Linked DNA regions of Drosophila melanogaster. The protein of the gene in region 1 interacts with the protein of each later gene in a pairwise test. Each region holds a gene or a part of one and is shown in the gene's direction. Other genes may lie near its edges. The genes, in order: CG11085 and CG6769.

Evidence for each region.
Region 2: the proteins of CG11085 (region 1) and CG6769 interact in a two-hybrid assay, tested with the Drosophila melanogaster proteins (one large-scale study listed by BioGRID).

Annotation. Positions count from the first base shown.
Region 1 is NC_004354.4:12,614,572-12,623,029, forward strand, and holds CG11085 (uncharacterized protein), read left to right. Parts: upstream 1-1,744; 5' UTR 1,745-2,105; coding exon 2,106-2,178; intron 2,179-5,080; coding exon 5,081-5,642; intron 5,643-6,097; coding exon 6,098-6,350; 3' UTR 6,351-6,645; downstream 6,646-8,458. Other genes in the region: Fpgs1 (folylpolyglutamate synthase 1), read left to right, coding at 1-279, 346-766.
Region 2 is NC_004354.4:17,859,340-17,864,588, forward strand, and holds CG6769 (uncharacterized protein), read left to right. Parts: upstream 1-1,662; 5' UTR 1,663-1,824; coding exon 1,825-2,340; intron 2,341-2,498; coding exon 2,499-2,861; intron 2,862-2,934; coding exon 2,935-3,285; 3' UTR 3,286-3,436; downstream 3,437-5,249. Other genes in the region: Arp8 (Actin-related protein 8), read right to left, coding at 1-663, 729-1,314, 1,383-1,387; mnb (minibrain), read right to left, coding at 4,281-5,206.

The DNA of each region.
Region 1 (8,458 bases):
TGCTCCGATTTGGCAGACCTTCAGTAACTTAATTCGCCTAAATGGCTCATTGGCCATTCAATTGGCCCAAGATTGGTTGTCGCAGTCGGGAAAACAGCAGCACACTCCCAACGAGGTGAAAATGGATCCACAGCTGCTGGACGGACTGATTAGCACCCACTGGCCCGGTCGGTGCCAGCTAATCGAATGGCACGGGATGCGATTACATCTGGACGGAGCTCACACTCTGGAAAGCATGGAAGTGTGCACGGACTGGTTTGAAAAAAACGTGCGAGACAGGTGAGCGGAGTAGGAGGAGATGGTCCTATAATACATAACTGATTCGATTGACTTCCTCATTTGCAGTGTCAATCCAAAGATTCTGATCTTTAATCGCACCGGAGAATCCGGTTTCGCACCTCTGCTAAAGCTACTCAACCGCACCTGTGACTTTGACATGGTCTGCTTTGTGCCCAATTTGGCCACCTCAACGCCAAATGCTCCCAGCCAGGTGATGGTTCGTTTTAGTCCCGAAATGCAATTGAATCGGGCGAGGATCATTGCCTCAGCTTGGAGTGACCTCTGCGCAACGGAGCAAAAAAAAGATGTGGGTCAGGTGTATAATACGCTAACCGACGCTTTTACTGCCATCAGGCAAAGATTTCCACAAGCCACAGACAATGAGGGACAACTAGAGGTCCTCGTCACCGGTTCCATTCATCTGCTGGGAGCAGCTATAAGTGCCCTAGATCTTATCGATGATCCCAAATCTAGAACTGATAAATAAGACACATTCCTAACCAGGAGAACCGGCTGAAACACTGGGATTGCTATTAGATTAGCTATTAGATTTAGAAGTCGAAGCAAGCCACTTGCATATCACTTAGTGGAACTTTAACATGAATCGCTGAAAGCATCAGCTAATAAATGTAGTTGTAGTTAATAATAAAACAATATTTGAAATATTGTGTAGAAATAATAACCCTATGAAGTGTTTTATGCCCATTTTTAGTTAGCAGCAAACTTATGATTAATGGAATAAAAGTTTGCATATATAGTGTGTATGCCACAATACTTACTCACTAAATATTCAAAATGGGTGATTTTAAATCCTTACGGACATCGAACAGAGTTGCCAACTCGCCGACGGTGTTTCGTTGATTTCTGGTCCTTTTACCTTTTTACATACCACTTTGGTGCGTTTTAGAGCTCGTAACTCGTGCGACTGACGCAGATTTCAAAGGCGACATTAGACTGGGCCAAGGAAATGCGAGAGCTTTAAGGGTTGCTTTTTTCCCCGGGCCATTTAGGGGTGGCCCAGAATGACAGCCAATGGCGCGGCGGCAACCCTGGGCGAAGAGAGAGACAGCAAGCTGTTGTCCACCTGCTCTCCCACCGGGCTAACGGCAAACAAAATGGCTAACGGGACAGCGGAAGTCGGTGAGCGAGCGGGATGGCATGCTGCTGTTTTGTTGATGCTGTGTGTCTAAGGCAACTGATTAAATAACGGTTAAATGGCAGCGGCCATTGCGAAAGTTTCCTTTTTGTAGCTACATTTTTTTTCACTCATTTTGCTGTTGTTGTTGCTGGACTTTTCCTCTGCAAACGTCGACGTCGACGTGGGCGCTAAACTGTCCCGTTTACAGCAACAAATCCGCGTAATTCACTTGTGTGTGTGTGTGTGTGAGGGGTGAATCCTGGCGATGTTCGCTAAAAGGATTAATAAACGTTCGACGTTTCGCATTTCAGTTGTTCATTTGACTCGGCGCTTAGCGGTTCAGTTACAGTTACTTTCTGTCCGTCTGTCTGTGTGAATGTGTGTGTGCGTGTTTCGTACTGGAAAATTCGATTACGCGTAGAACAGATCGAAGGCGCAATTATAATCGCTAAATTTGCACAGCACTGCCGTCGGCCAAACGCCAAAGGATAAAATAAAAAGGGATCATCAAATAAAAGCCTTCAAAGCCACTTAACAAATAAACAAGGACAACGGATTAATTTTTGTTATTGTTGCAACGGGATTTCTAGTGCAAAATGTTTCAAATGTGCCAGTTACTTTGAAAATCTGATCTAAAACAAACACACTTAAGCACCGCTTTTGCCATAAGGACTGCAGATCCATCAAAATGCAGAGCTCAAAATCTTTTTTAATACGCGATCTTCTGGGCGATTTGATTAATCGACGACAAACAGATTCGGGTAAGTTTTGAAAATATTTTGTACCATTTAAGTCCTTTGAGGTATATCATTTACCATATTTATCGACTATATGATATATCTATGAAACCATAACAATTCTGCTACTATAACAAGTATCAAAATAAATATATTCCTTTATTGATAATAATTTGTTTCCTTAACTAGATATTATTTGTAAAAAGGAATATCTAGTTTATATCAGTTCTCTGCTAATAATAGATATATTTTTCAAAACAAACAATTTCGTAGCTCCATACTAATTGTAAATAACAAGACTTCCATGTAATTAAATATAACCTATCATTTTGCATACACCCACACATGTGAAATAAACATACATAATATAAACGCCTTTTTTGGCCAATTAGCCTGCTCATTGTTCCAATCTCCCGTTCTTTGATGTTTTGCTGTTGGCTGAGGGGTAAATAAGGGGAGTTTTTGGCTAAAACCACTGACAAATTGCCTTGCTCACTCTCTTTTGACGCCCCCAATTCTGTCATCTGTTTTTTTTTTTTCACCCGCCTGTGGCATTTAAATCTCACACTTTGCTCAATTATCGCAAAAACAAAAACTTTTAGCGGTGTGAGTGAGATGGCGATGAGAGCGAGTGGGATGGCTAGACAGCGGGTGAGCGAGAGGGGTTGAGTGGAAACAACAAAAACCACAGCTTCAGGCAGTAATTTATTTGTGCACTGCTTGCTTGCACCGAAAAATATTATTTTTCAATACGATATCTTGATTTTGTTTTATATTTATATATATCAAAAAATATGTTAGCTTCTGGAAAATTTAAGATTTCAATAGATTTGCTAATTATTGTCATTTTCCATATATTTTTTGATATACTTTATAGCCATATTTTCTGACTGTGTGAGTTTGGCAGTTAATAGTATTTTTGTTGCTGTTGACACTGCTTTATTCGTAACCTGCGCTCAAGCAATTTGTCACGTACGAGCACTTTAATTGTTTTTAGCCAGGGGATCGGAAACCGAAAGGGAAAATGTCGTGGTGGATGCGAATGCAAATGGGACTGAAAACTCAGTCATGACAAATGCTTTTGCATCCTCGCACAAGTACACAGAACAAATCGAATCGTGATCTTTACTAGTGTTAACTTTGAGTCAAGAAAATATAATAACACAAAAGTCATCTTCAAGTACTAAAGAAAAAATAAATTATTAAGGATATATATATAAAAAATATGCATAGATTAATATACTCATTCCACATTCGATTTAAATGGCTCTTTACATTTTTTCGCAGTGTACCGCCTGCGGTGCCCGCTTACGTATGCTTTGTTTTTTGGTTGGTTTGTGCCAACTGCATGTGTTATCCTCTAATTAGGCATGACATTAAATAAAGTTTAGCTCAACAATTACAACTATTTAGAGGCTAATTGCTGTCAGTTAGAGAGGATGAAAATGAAACTTTCACTGCAAGTATACCTTACGTTTCGATTTTGCCTAAAATCAATGCTAGTAACGGCATGGATAAATAAAAAAAAAAAGAAATTTGTATATTATTAGGACACACATACGTTATTCCAATGTCCAAATTGCCGGCACATGCGAGCCCATTTCACCCACTTTCTCCATCCAATACGACAAGTCACCGGCTTTCGCCTGTCTTCAATCTTCAGATGTGTGTCTCACAGTTCAAGTGCCTATTAAATGGCAATTGTGCCGCAAATTGATACGACGTGACTTTTCGAGAAAAATGAAAGAACTCACTCGAGACGCTCCCCAGGATATCCACACATAATTGAATATCCCCTCACATGCATAGACATATGTACAATACATATGTATATCCACCATCTACCCTTCCGTCCTGTCTGCGCAAATCGTTATAAATGGAATCAGATGTCGAAACCCATTTGGGGTTAAAATACACAAATATAAAAATAATTTCCGCCCGTTCAGTTGGCACTCCAGAAAGTGGGCAGAAAACATAGAAGAATCCTTGCTGGGCGAACACACGTGAGCGCCTGTGGCGAATCGAAAATTATGTTCTTCTAAAAAGTTGAGTGTTAAGTAAGCGCCACTGGGCAAAAAAATTGAGAAATTGTATTCATAATGTGCAAAAGTTGGTCGAGTGTTAAAAGGTTTCTATTTTTTTCCAATATAACTCTGGTTTTTATAAATAGAAAATAAATATATAAATGGCATTGAAAACGTATTTTATTCCGATATAAATAGTACGAAAAAGTTTTCTTTTGATTTTGTTTAAGAAAGTAAGTAAGTACTTGTAAGCGAAATATTTCTCTCAGTGCAGCGTGGAGCAGACCATGTAAATTCCAATAGGAAAAACAATTGAGAGCTCGTCGACACGTGAATTTAATCAGGCAGCCCGCAGCGTGCGATTTTCGAGTCCGGATTCGAGTCCGATTTGGGATTGTGTTCAGGATGCGATGTATGTATGTGCGACGGATATAAATAACATGTTGATTGCTGCAAATTGCAACTCATCCGATTCGCCGCCCCATCATCCAAACGGACCAACGCCCACTTGATTCTCCCATCCGATTTGATAGCACTTCATCCAATGCGATTGTCTATTGCATTGTGTGGTGTGGTGTGGTGTAGCAATGGGTTTCCCAGGTCGCTTCTCGACCGGAAGTGGTTGCACGCGCGAAAAGAAGAGGTTGAACGCATTAGTGCCACGCTGCGCCTGAAAACAGGCAACAGTGTCTTAAAGTCGGTATCTTTATACCGGCGTCCACTTGACACTCGGCCTGCACTCTGCACTCCAATTGAATCCACGAGTCGTGGTCAATCAAATTTTGAAAATTTTTAAATGAGTAGAAAGCCTATTGTTTGCATATAAAAACAGGATGTCTTTGGGATAATCTAACAAGTGCAACTACATTTTAATAATCCTCCCTTTGATTTCCTATTTCCAGAACTGGAGCTCTCCAACGACGATTCGGATATAGACATTGAGGATCGATCTACGCCGGACTCGACGGCTGCGGGCTGCCAGCAGGAGCTACTGCTGTCGCACCATCACCGCAGATTCACCCACCACGACGAATCCAGTGTGGAGTCCTGCCTATCGGCCACAAGGGGCCCCGGCTCTGGCACAGGATCGGGTGGTGGCGGAGGTGGTGGTGGTGGAGGAGGAGTAGCCAGCGGACTGAGCGCCGCTGCAGCGGCGGCGGGCGTGGCTGCTGGACTCCTGGCAGCGGCGGCCAGTGGTGCCAATGGGGATCGGGATGCCAACGGTGGCAGTGGCCCGGGATCCGGTGGCGGTACAAGTGGCGGCTATGCGGAGCACAAGCTGCAGCTGAGCAAAAGTGGCCGGAAGCCGCGACGCCGCCGAACCGCCTTCACCCACGCCCAGCTCGCCTACTTGGAGCGGAAGTTCCGGTGCCAGAAGTACCTGAGCGTGGCCGATCGCAGCGATGTGGCCGAAACGCTCAATCTGTCCGAGACGCAGGTGAAAACCTGGTACCAGAATCGCCGGTGAGTGTTGATCGAGAGCAAATCCCCAAGTTGGAAAGGAGCCACTTTATTAATTGCTTTTTAAATTAAAACGATAATGGATAATGAAACAATAAGTTTTGATTAGAAAAGAATCAAATATCTTCCATTCGCGGATAGAATAATGAACTATTTGATTTTGTTTCACTATTTTAAATTGCAGTAAGTACAGTTGCGCTCATAGTGCTTCAACCGATCGCAAACGTCTGGCAACGCAAAACCTTGTATTTTGCGCAGTACAAATTGTATTTTTAAGTATATACATATTAATATTAATAATGGCTTGTTATTATAGTTTACCAAAGCCAATTTTATGTTGAGTAAGATTACTAAAAAAATATAGAATTTATTGGTACAATCACGCTAAAGTGATCCCATATTCAATTCTAACCGTGTGGCAACGATTGTAAGCGCTTCATTTGCCTTTTCCATTGCAGGACCAAATGGAAGCGACAGAATCAACTGCGTCTGGAGCAGCTGCGTCATCAGGCGACCATGGAGAAGGATTTTGTGGTCCAGGATGGCGGCGGTGCGGGCGGACTCGGCTGCTGTCCCAGCGGACTGAGCAGTTCTTTTAGTGCCGCCGCCGCTGCTGCAGCGGCTGCCAGCAATCCTTGCAATTTTCTCACTTCCGCCGCAGCGGCGGCCATTTTCCGTAATGTCGGCTATGTCCACGGATGTCCCATGTAGGAGCCACGCCCCAAACTCTCCCATAATACCATTTTCCCCAGCTGCCTGTGTATATAATGCGTATGAAGAAAACCGTTTTTGTGCAATAACCGATCGGGACAAATTAATGAAAGTCAAGCGATGTGCTGATATTTACCAAGCATACCCGATATTATTATTATAATACGTACTTAACAATATAATCATAAAAATAAGCGTAGTCGAATTAATTAATTGTATTATAAAACTAAAAAATTTTTTTTTTCACATCGCACTCTATGGAATTTTTTTTTGGCCAGAATAAACATTCAATTGCAAGTCTTTAAGCGTTTTCACTTGGGAGGTGATCTAATTGAAATTAATTATAAAAAAACTTAATCAAAGCTAACTAGTATAAATAATAGGTCTTATTTACTTTACTGGTTTTGTTACAGAATTAAGCTCCATTTGCGAATAACAAATCAAACGTTCAACTTCCGATAAATTTGAGAAACGATAATGATCGATCACTAAAATCGATCGTTACCGATTGTTCAATTTTACCAAAAGTCTTTTATACATGTGCTGTGTTGGCTGCAATTTAATATTTAATAATTCACAAAGGAATCGAATGCAACGTATCGGTTAAATGCCGCTCGCCCATCTGCGTATCTGCAAATCGGTGAGCTGTGAGTCATGCTTGAAAATCAACTTGAGCGAATCGCACAAAACGATATCAATTTGTCGCTATATAGCAAATAGCCCGCGACATATGCCCACCCAACGGGCAGGATATCGCGTCTACAGCTACATATGTATATAGATCCACTCTATATATATTATTTGCATGGAGCTGTGAGAGAGAGGGCGATATAGAGTGAGAAAGAGAGGAAGGATGAAGCAGCCAACCGGAAAACAAGCAACAACTCTGGTCGCAATTATAACGGGCCAACGGAGCGCAGAGAGCGCATGAGCGGGGGCGTGCGACAGAAAGAGATGGCAGCAGTGCGTCCTGGCAAACGAGGATGCGATAGCACCGTCATATACAGTAGGGATTCCCTAGCACAAACTGAAAAGAAACCTACATCTAAGGACATTTCGATAAGAAACAGATATACAACATAGAGCATGCAACAATCATGCAATGTGATATATGAAGGAGAATGCAACAAACAACAACAAGAGCGTATGCATATATTTTGCAGATGACTTATTTCAATAACTGAGTGTGAAGATCTCTTATAATTCGCAACTAGTTCTGTCTCGAAATGAGTGTAGCTTCCACACTGTACCATCATATGGGCAGACAAATACTATGAAAAAATATTAAAAAAAAAAAATTAACTAGCGTAGATATATAAGAATTATTTTGCTTATTCAGTTCTTTCCATCGAGGATCGTCTGTAGCTACAGTTATATTTTCATGCCCATTTAGCTCGCTACACAAAAAGGAGGAGAAATGTTTAGCCACAAATTGAATCTGCGGTGAGTGAGTTAACGAGCGAGAGAGAGGTCTAGATGGATATAGTATAACCATGCCATAGTGTATGCCATACCATAGGACACCAGCTAACGCCAACCCAACCCAAGCCAACCCAACGAGGATATGGCATGATGATATAGGGGCAGACGACGTGGAACGGGTAGTAGTTTTCAAGTGGTGCAGAGCGGCACAGAACGCTAATTAAAAAGATACTTGATGGGAGCCACCGGAAACAAAACGGAAAAGCCAAAGAAGCGAGGCGGGCAATGCGAAAAAATGCGGGAAAAATGGCTGAAATGCGAATGAAAGGCAAAGGCGAATGGGATGGCAAGCAAGTTAACGTTGCCATGAAATCGTCTATGAAATGTGAATGTAATCTAATGAATAAAATGCATCTGCTAACCCCCATCATGCCAGCCACTTGCAGATACAGATAGATGATGGATGATTCTTTCACCGGTTTCCTTCGCGTTTTTTTTTTTTTTTTTTGATACCGCAAATTCTCACATTCATGCGGTTCATTTGCGCAGCCATTGAGATTTGAATGGCATTTTTAATTGGTACATTTTACGCAGCCATCCTTTGAGCACAAAGGCACCTCCTGCTCCACCAGCCCTTCTCCTTTGAGCTGGCCATCATTCAATTTGATTTGTATTTATTTAATGAG
Region 2 (5,249 bases), 5.2 Mb from region 1:
GCAGTCCTCGCAGTCGTATTGGTCCTGCACCGCCTGCTGTGTGAAAACCGCTTTCGTTCGGCCCGTGATGTTCAACAGCTCCGTGTGGAAGAGGGCCAGTGGCGCCATTAGGGCCTCATCGCCCACCTGTATGGTGTAGCGCAGCCACTGGCCGTTATGTTTGCGCAGGTTGAAGTGCTTCTCCTGGGCGCCACAAACGCTGGCGTTCAGGTGGCAAAACTTTTCCTTCAGCTCGTCCAGCAGATGGGCATCCACATAGCTCTCCTGCACATTGCACTCGCGATAGGGAAAGCCGCACTTTCGCAGCAGCAGGAGTAGCACCTGATCCAGGTCGCCGCCGCCATAGGACAGCCGCACCCTGGCATCCAGCTGCGAAATTCCGTCCTCGATGCAGGCTATGGAGGTCTTTTGGGCGCCAATGTCCACCACACAGCCGTACCCAATGCCGGCGCCAAAGGTGGAGGCGACGCTGTCCTGGACGAGGAAGCAGCGCCGAAAGCCCAAACGCCTCAGCAGCAGGGTCACGAACTCGCGCAGATGCCGCCGCACATAGACATCGTTGACCACCAAGACGGCGCAGTGGGTGCCCAGTTTACGCAGCGGGATCTTCAGACGCTCTTCCAGGGCGTACGACCAGATTCGTTCCAAGTGCTGCATGCTGGCCTGAAAAAAAAAAAACAGCTTCATCAGTTTAGTTTGGAAACTACGAGGAACAACGCAGCACACACTTGTAGCGAGCCGCCCTTCTCGTTGTGCACATTCAGCTCGCCCCTTTGAATGGGAAAATGGATGTCGTAGTTGCGGGCATCCACAGCACCGAGTCGCAGGATACGGTCGTCGAACAGCACGGGTGCCTCGCGATCCAGCCAGGGCTCGTCCGCCATCTGGCCACTGGGCGCCGGCACCTTCTCCGCCTGACTGCTCCGGTTGAAGTGGGCCAGTTGCTGCGGCGGAGTGGCCACCCGCAACCGGTTTTTGTTATCGACGACGCAGTGCTGCAGAATGCGCGACACCACCAGGCGCTGCTCCTCGAACTCCACCATCAGGCCGGAGTTTGAGTTGACGTTGTCCAGCGGCGGCAGCAGCGGATCATGATGCGGCCTATCGCTGGCCCCCGGACGCCTCCTGTAGGCCACCGCGTGCAGCAGGGTCAGCGGATTAAGGTCGGCCGCCCTGCCGATCCTCAAGTGCTGCGATCCAGGATGGATGACGATAATCTTTGGCGCCTCCAGTGGCTGCGCCTGCGGCTGGGGCAGCCCAATTGGCGGCGGCGCCGGATGCCGGCCACTGCTGGTGCTGCTGGCTCGGGATCGTCTGGACGAAGGGAGAGTAGCCAAGTTGCAAAATTAGTTGCTTCACATACCACTTACTTATTCACTTACTGCATCGTTTGCTTTCCGAAATCCGGATCCTTTGAAAATGCGGAAATCGGAGGCAACAACAAATGGCAACAAAGCCAATGTGACCGTGGTGCGCAAATGAGAACATTTATAAAACAGGAACACAGGAAAAACAGAAAGTTAAAGTAATAAAAAAATAGGGCTGATTTACAAAACTCATTTTTCATTAATTACTATTAATTCATTGTTGAAATTCAAAGCACTCATATATATAACATATAACAAATTCTTTGTTTAGTATATTGTGTGTGGATGGTGCCGACGTGAGTGCCGTCTGGTCACACTGTCAAGAACGTGGTTTTGTTTTTTAATCATCACCATTAAATTGAGCAGCCTTACTTTCCATTGTGAAATACGCCATTCCAGAGTGCCAACGAAAACGAGAGTGCCAGTCAAGCGATCATCGAATCCACTCAGCGCCACAATGTCGCACTTCACCTGCCTGAACTGCGATGCCCGCTTCGCCAGCGCGGATGTGCAGCGGAATCACTACAAGACCGACTGGCATCGCTACAATCTGAAGCGCAGGGTGGCCCAGCTGCCGCCCGTTACGGCCGAGGAGTTCCAGCAGCGCGTTCTTAGCGCCCGCAGCGCCACGGACGCGGCACTCGAGGAGCAGAACCTAAGTGTCTACTGCCACGCCTGCAGACGCCAATTCGCCAGCCAGAAGGCGCACGACAACCACCTGAACAGCCGCAAGCACAAGGAGCTGCTGGCCCGCTTCGAGCGCGAGCAGATGACAGCTAGCGGCGGCAGCGCCAGCACCGCCACATCCGTGTGCACGCGCAGCGTCGTGGAGCAGCGGCCCCATCCGGCCCTGGCCGCCGCAGCCGCTGGCAAGGGTCGACTGGCCTTCGCGGAGCGGGTGGTCAAGGCCAATAACGACGAGGAGATGGTCGACGAGGACGACGATGATTTCGAGGACATTGAAGAGGAGGAGGTAGGAAGCGCTATGCAGATAGAGCTCGCATTAGACTTTTCCTTGCTCATAGAAGGGTTACCTTGAGAATGATTTCCTTGGAGATTCTATGCCTGGTTAAGATATGCACCTTTACAACGTATACAGCTTCTTATAAAGAACAACTTGATTTTTTGCAGGTGGATTCCGATGAGTGGGACAAGATACCCGAGAATCCGCTGACCGAGCGCGACTGCCTGTTCTGCACACATGCCAGCGAGGATCTGGTGGAGAACCTAAAGCACATGTCCGTGGCGCACTCGTTCTTCATTCCGGACACCGAGTACTGCACGGACATCGAGGGCCTTCTGTACTACCTGGGCGAGAAGGTGGCCAACTACTTCATCTGCCTGTTCTGCAACGATCGCGGCAAGACCTTCTATTCCCTGGACGCCGTGCGCAAACACATGATCGACAAGGGCCACTGCCAGATGCTGCACGAGGGTGTGGCGCTGGCCGAGTATGCCGAATACTACGACTACAGCAGCAGTTATCCGGACAATGTGAGTATCACATAGCACAAGCAAACCTCCATTTATGCTGACTGAATCTTGGAAAACCTTTTAACCCGCACAGAATGAGGGCATGGACATTGACGAAGAGGTGGTGCCGGATCTGCTCGATGGCGATGAGTATCAGCTGGTGCTGCCCTCAGGCGCGGTCATTGGTCATCGCTCCCTGCTTCGCTACTACAAGCAGCGTCTTCGTCCGGAACGCGCCGTCGTCATCAAGAAGTCCGACCGCAAACTGCACCGCGTGCTCAGCGAGTACCGGGCTCTGGGCTGGACGCAAACGCAGCAGCTGTCCGCCGCCCGCAAGGCACGCGACATTCATCTGATGAAGCGCGTCCAGTCCAAGTGGCAGATGAAGCTCGGCTGCAAGGCCAATAAGCTGCAGAAGCACTATCGTGCACAGGTTCTGATCTAATCATCGCTTGCTTTTCTTTCCAAATGCTATTGGCCTCCCCCCTACTTGTACAATAAAAAGTTTTTGAGTTTTGCTTAAATTAAGCATATTTGTTTGCTTTCTATATTACTAGCGATTTCTCGTCGAATAAAATTACATAATTTAAATTAACAATTAAATAAAGTTTAATTTTGATTCGTTTATATAAAGTAAAAGTATGTCGTTACGGTTACTGCATAAAGTTAAACATTATAATTAGACCAAAAAAAAAAATAGGTTCTAGCGTGTAAAAAAATAAACTCTGCCGAATCCATCAAGGCGCCCACACGGCATCCCCTCCCCGATCCCGGGCGACTGGGGGCGTGGCCGGTGCTGTGGGCGCGGCGGTGAGAGCTCGAAGTGACTAATCAGTAAGAACCGCAGGTGAGTGAGTTTTCGTGTGTTTCGTGGGACCTGAGGGTCAATTTCAGCTAGTTAATGTTAATGTATTTTTATTTTGGACATGTGTCTGTGTTGCAGTGATCTTCATCGGGCGTCTTGTCTTACAATGAACCAAGAATCTCAGCTTCTTTTCAGGAAAAGCTGAAAGTGTGACTATTACCACTCAAACAAAACAAAATGATCTTCGCTATTTATCCAATTGAAGTCACGTTGTCACAATCGCTAATTAAAAGAATTTTCATTTAAAATTGTCTACATAGAACAGAAATTTTCTTCACTTAAGATCTTACAAAAGCGCAGATGAAAATATTAACAATTATTCGTCAAAATTAGTAGTATATGTACATCGAAGTACATCGTACATGGTATGTAAAATTGGAAAAACGTGTGGACAAGACCCCCGATTACCGACCAACTATGGTGCTGCTGCGTTGGTGAATTTGTGGTTCCTTGGTTTGTGGGCGGGTGGAGGCGTTGGTTGGCGGTGCAATAAATAGCAGCAGAGAGCGGCAAAGGGCGTGAAAAGTAGTGTTTTAAGCGAGCATCCAACGTTCTTTGCTTGCTTCCAGTTTATGCTAATGTATAACTACAGGATTCTGTTGAACACAAACGCCCACCATGGGTGACGACGAGGAGGCATCGCTGCTGCTGGCTCCGGTGGCCGAGCCGCTGCTGCCACTGCCGACACTTTGAGAGATGCCCACCTGCGCGGCGGGTCCGGTGATGTGCCGCCTTTGGCCAACCACGCCGACACCCACTCCTCCGGATCCAACCGATGCTGATCCCGAGGAGACGGACGACGACGACGAGGGCGGCAGTTGCAGGGGCACGGACATGGGCAGTGGCATCGGCAGTGGCAGGTCGCTCAGCGAACCGAGCGCCGTGCCATAGAGCGTTCCGGCGGGCTGAGATGGGAAGAGAAAGGCGGCAGCTGACGGCGTAACCGGATTCTGGCCGGGATTGCCGCCGCCCTGGCCACCGCCCGCCGCCGAGGCGCTAATCACACTCGAATCGGTCATCATTAGGTGCGAGGCAGCAGCTGCTGCCGCTGCCGCCGCCGCAGCCACCGACGAGGACGACATGTTGCCGTAATAGGGCACCGAATTGGGCGCATAGCTGTTCGGTTGCAGTTGCATTATCGCTGGCACCCGCATCCTGCCGTGTCCGTTTGGCGGCGGTGGCGGCATCTGCGGCGGATCACATTCCATGGCGTGCGGATAGCTGATGCTGTTGTGGTTGTTGCTGCTGCCGCTGTTGTGGTGGCCCACCATGTTCACCATGTTGCTGCCGTACAGACGACTGTGGCGTGTGTTGTTGTTGCTGCTGTTGCTGTTGTTGTTGTGGCAGCCGGTGCTGCCGGGACTGATGTGATTCAGGCTGCCCAGGCTGTTGGTGCTGTGATGGCTATTGGCCAGCGATGGCGGCGGATGGGCGTTGGACTGCAGGCTCAGAGCGGAGAAGTTGTTCATCGCGTTGGCTGCCACCGAATGCATAAGCAGGCCTGAAAAACAAATAGATGTTTGTCTTTAAATGGGTTTCATATG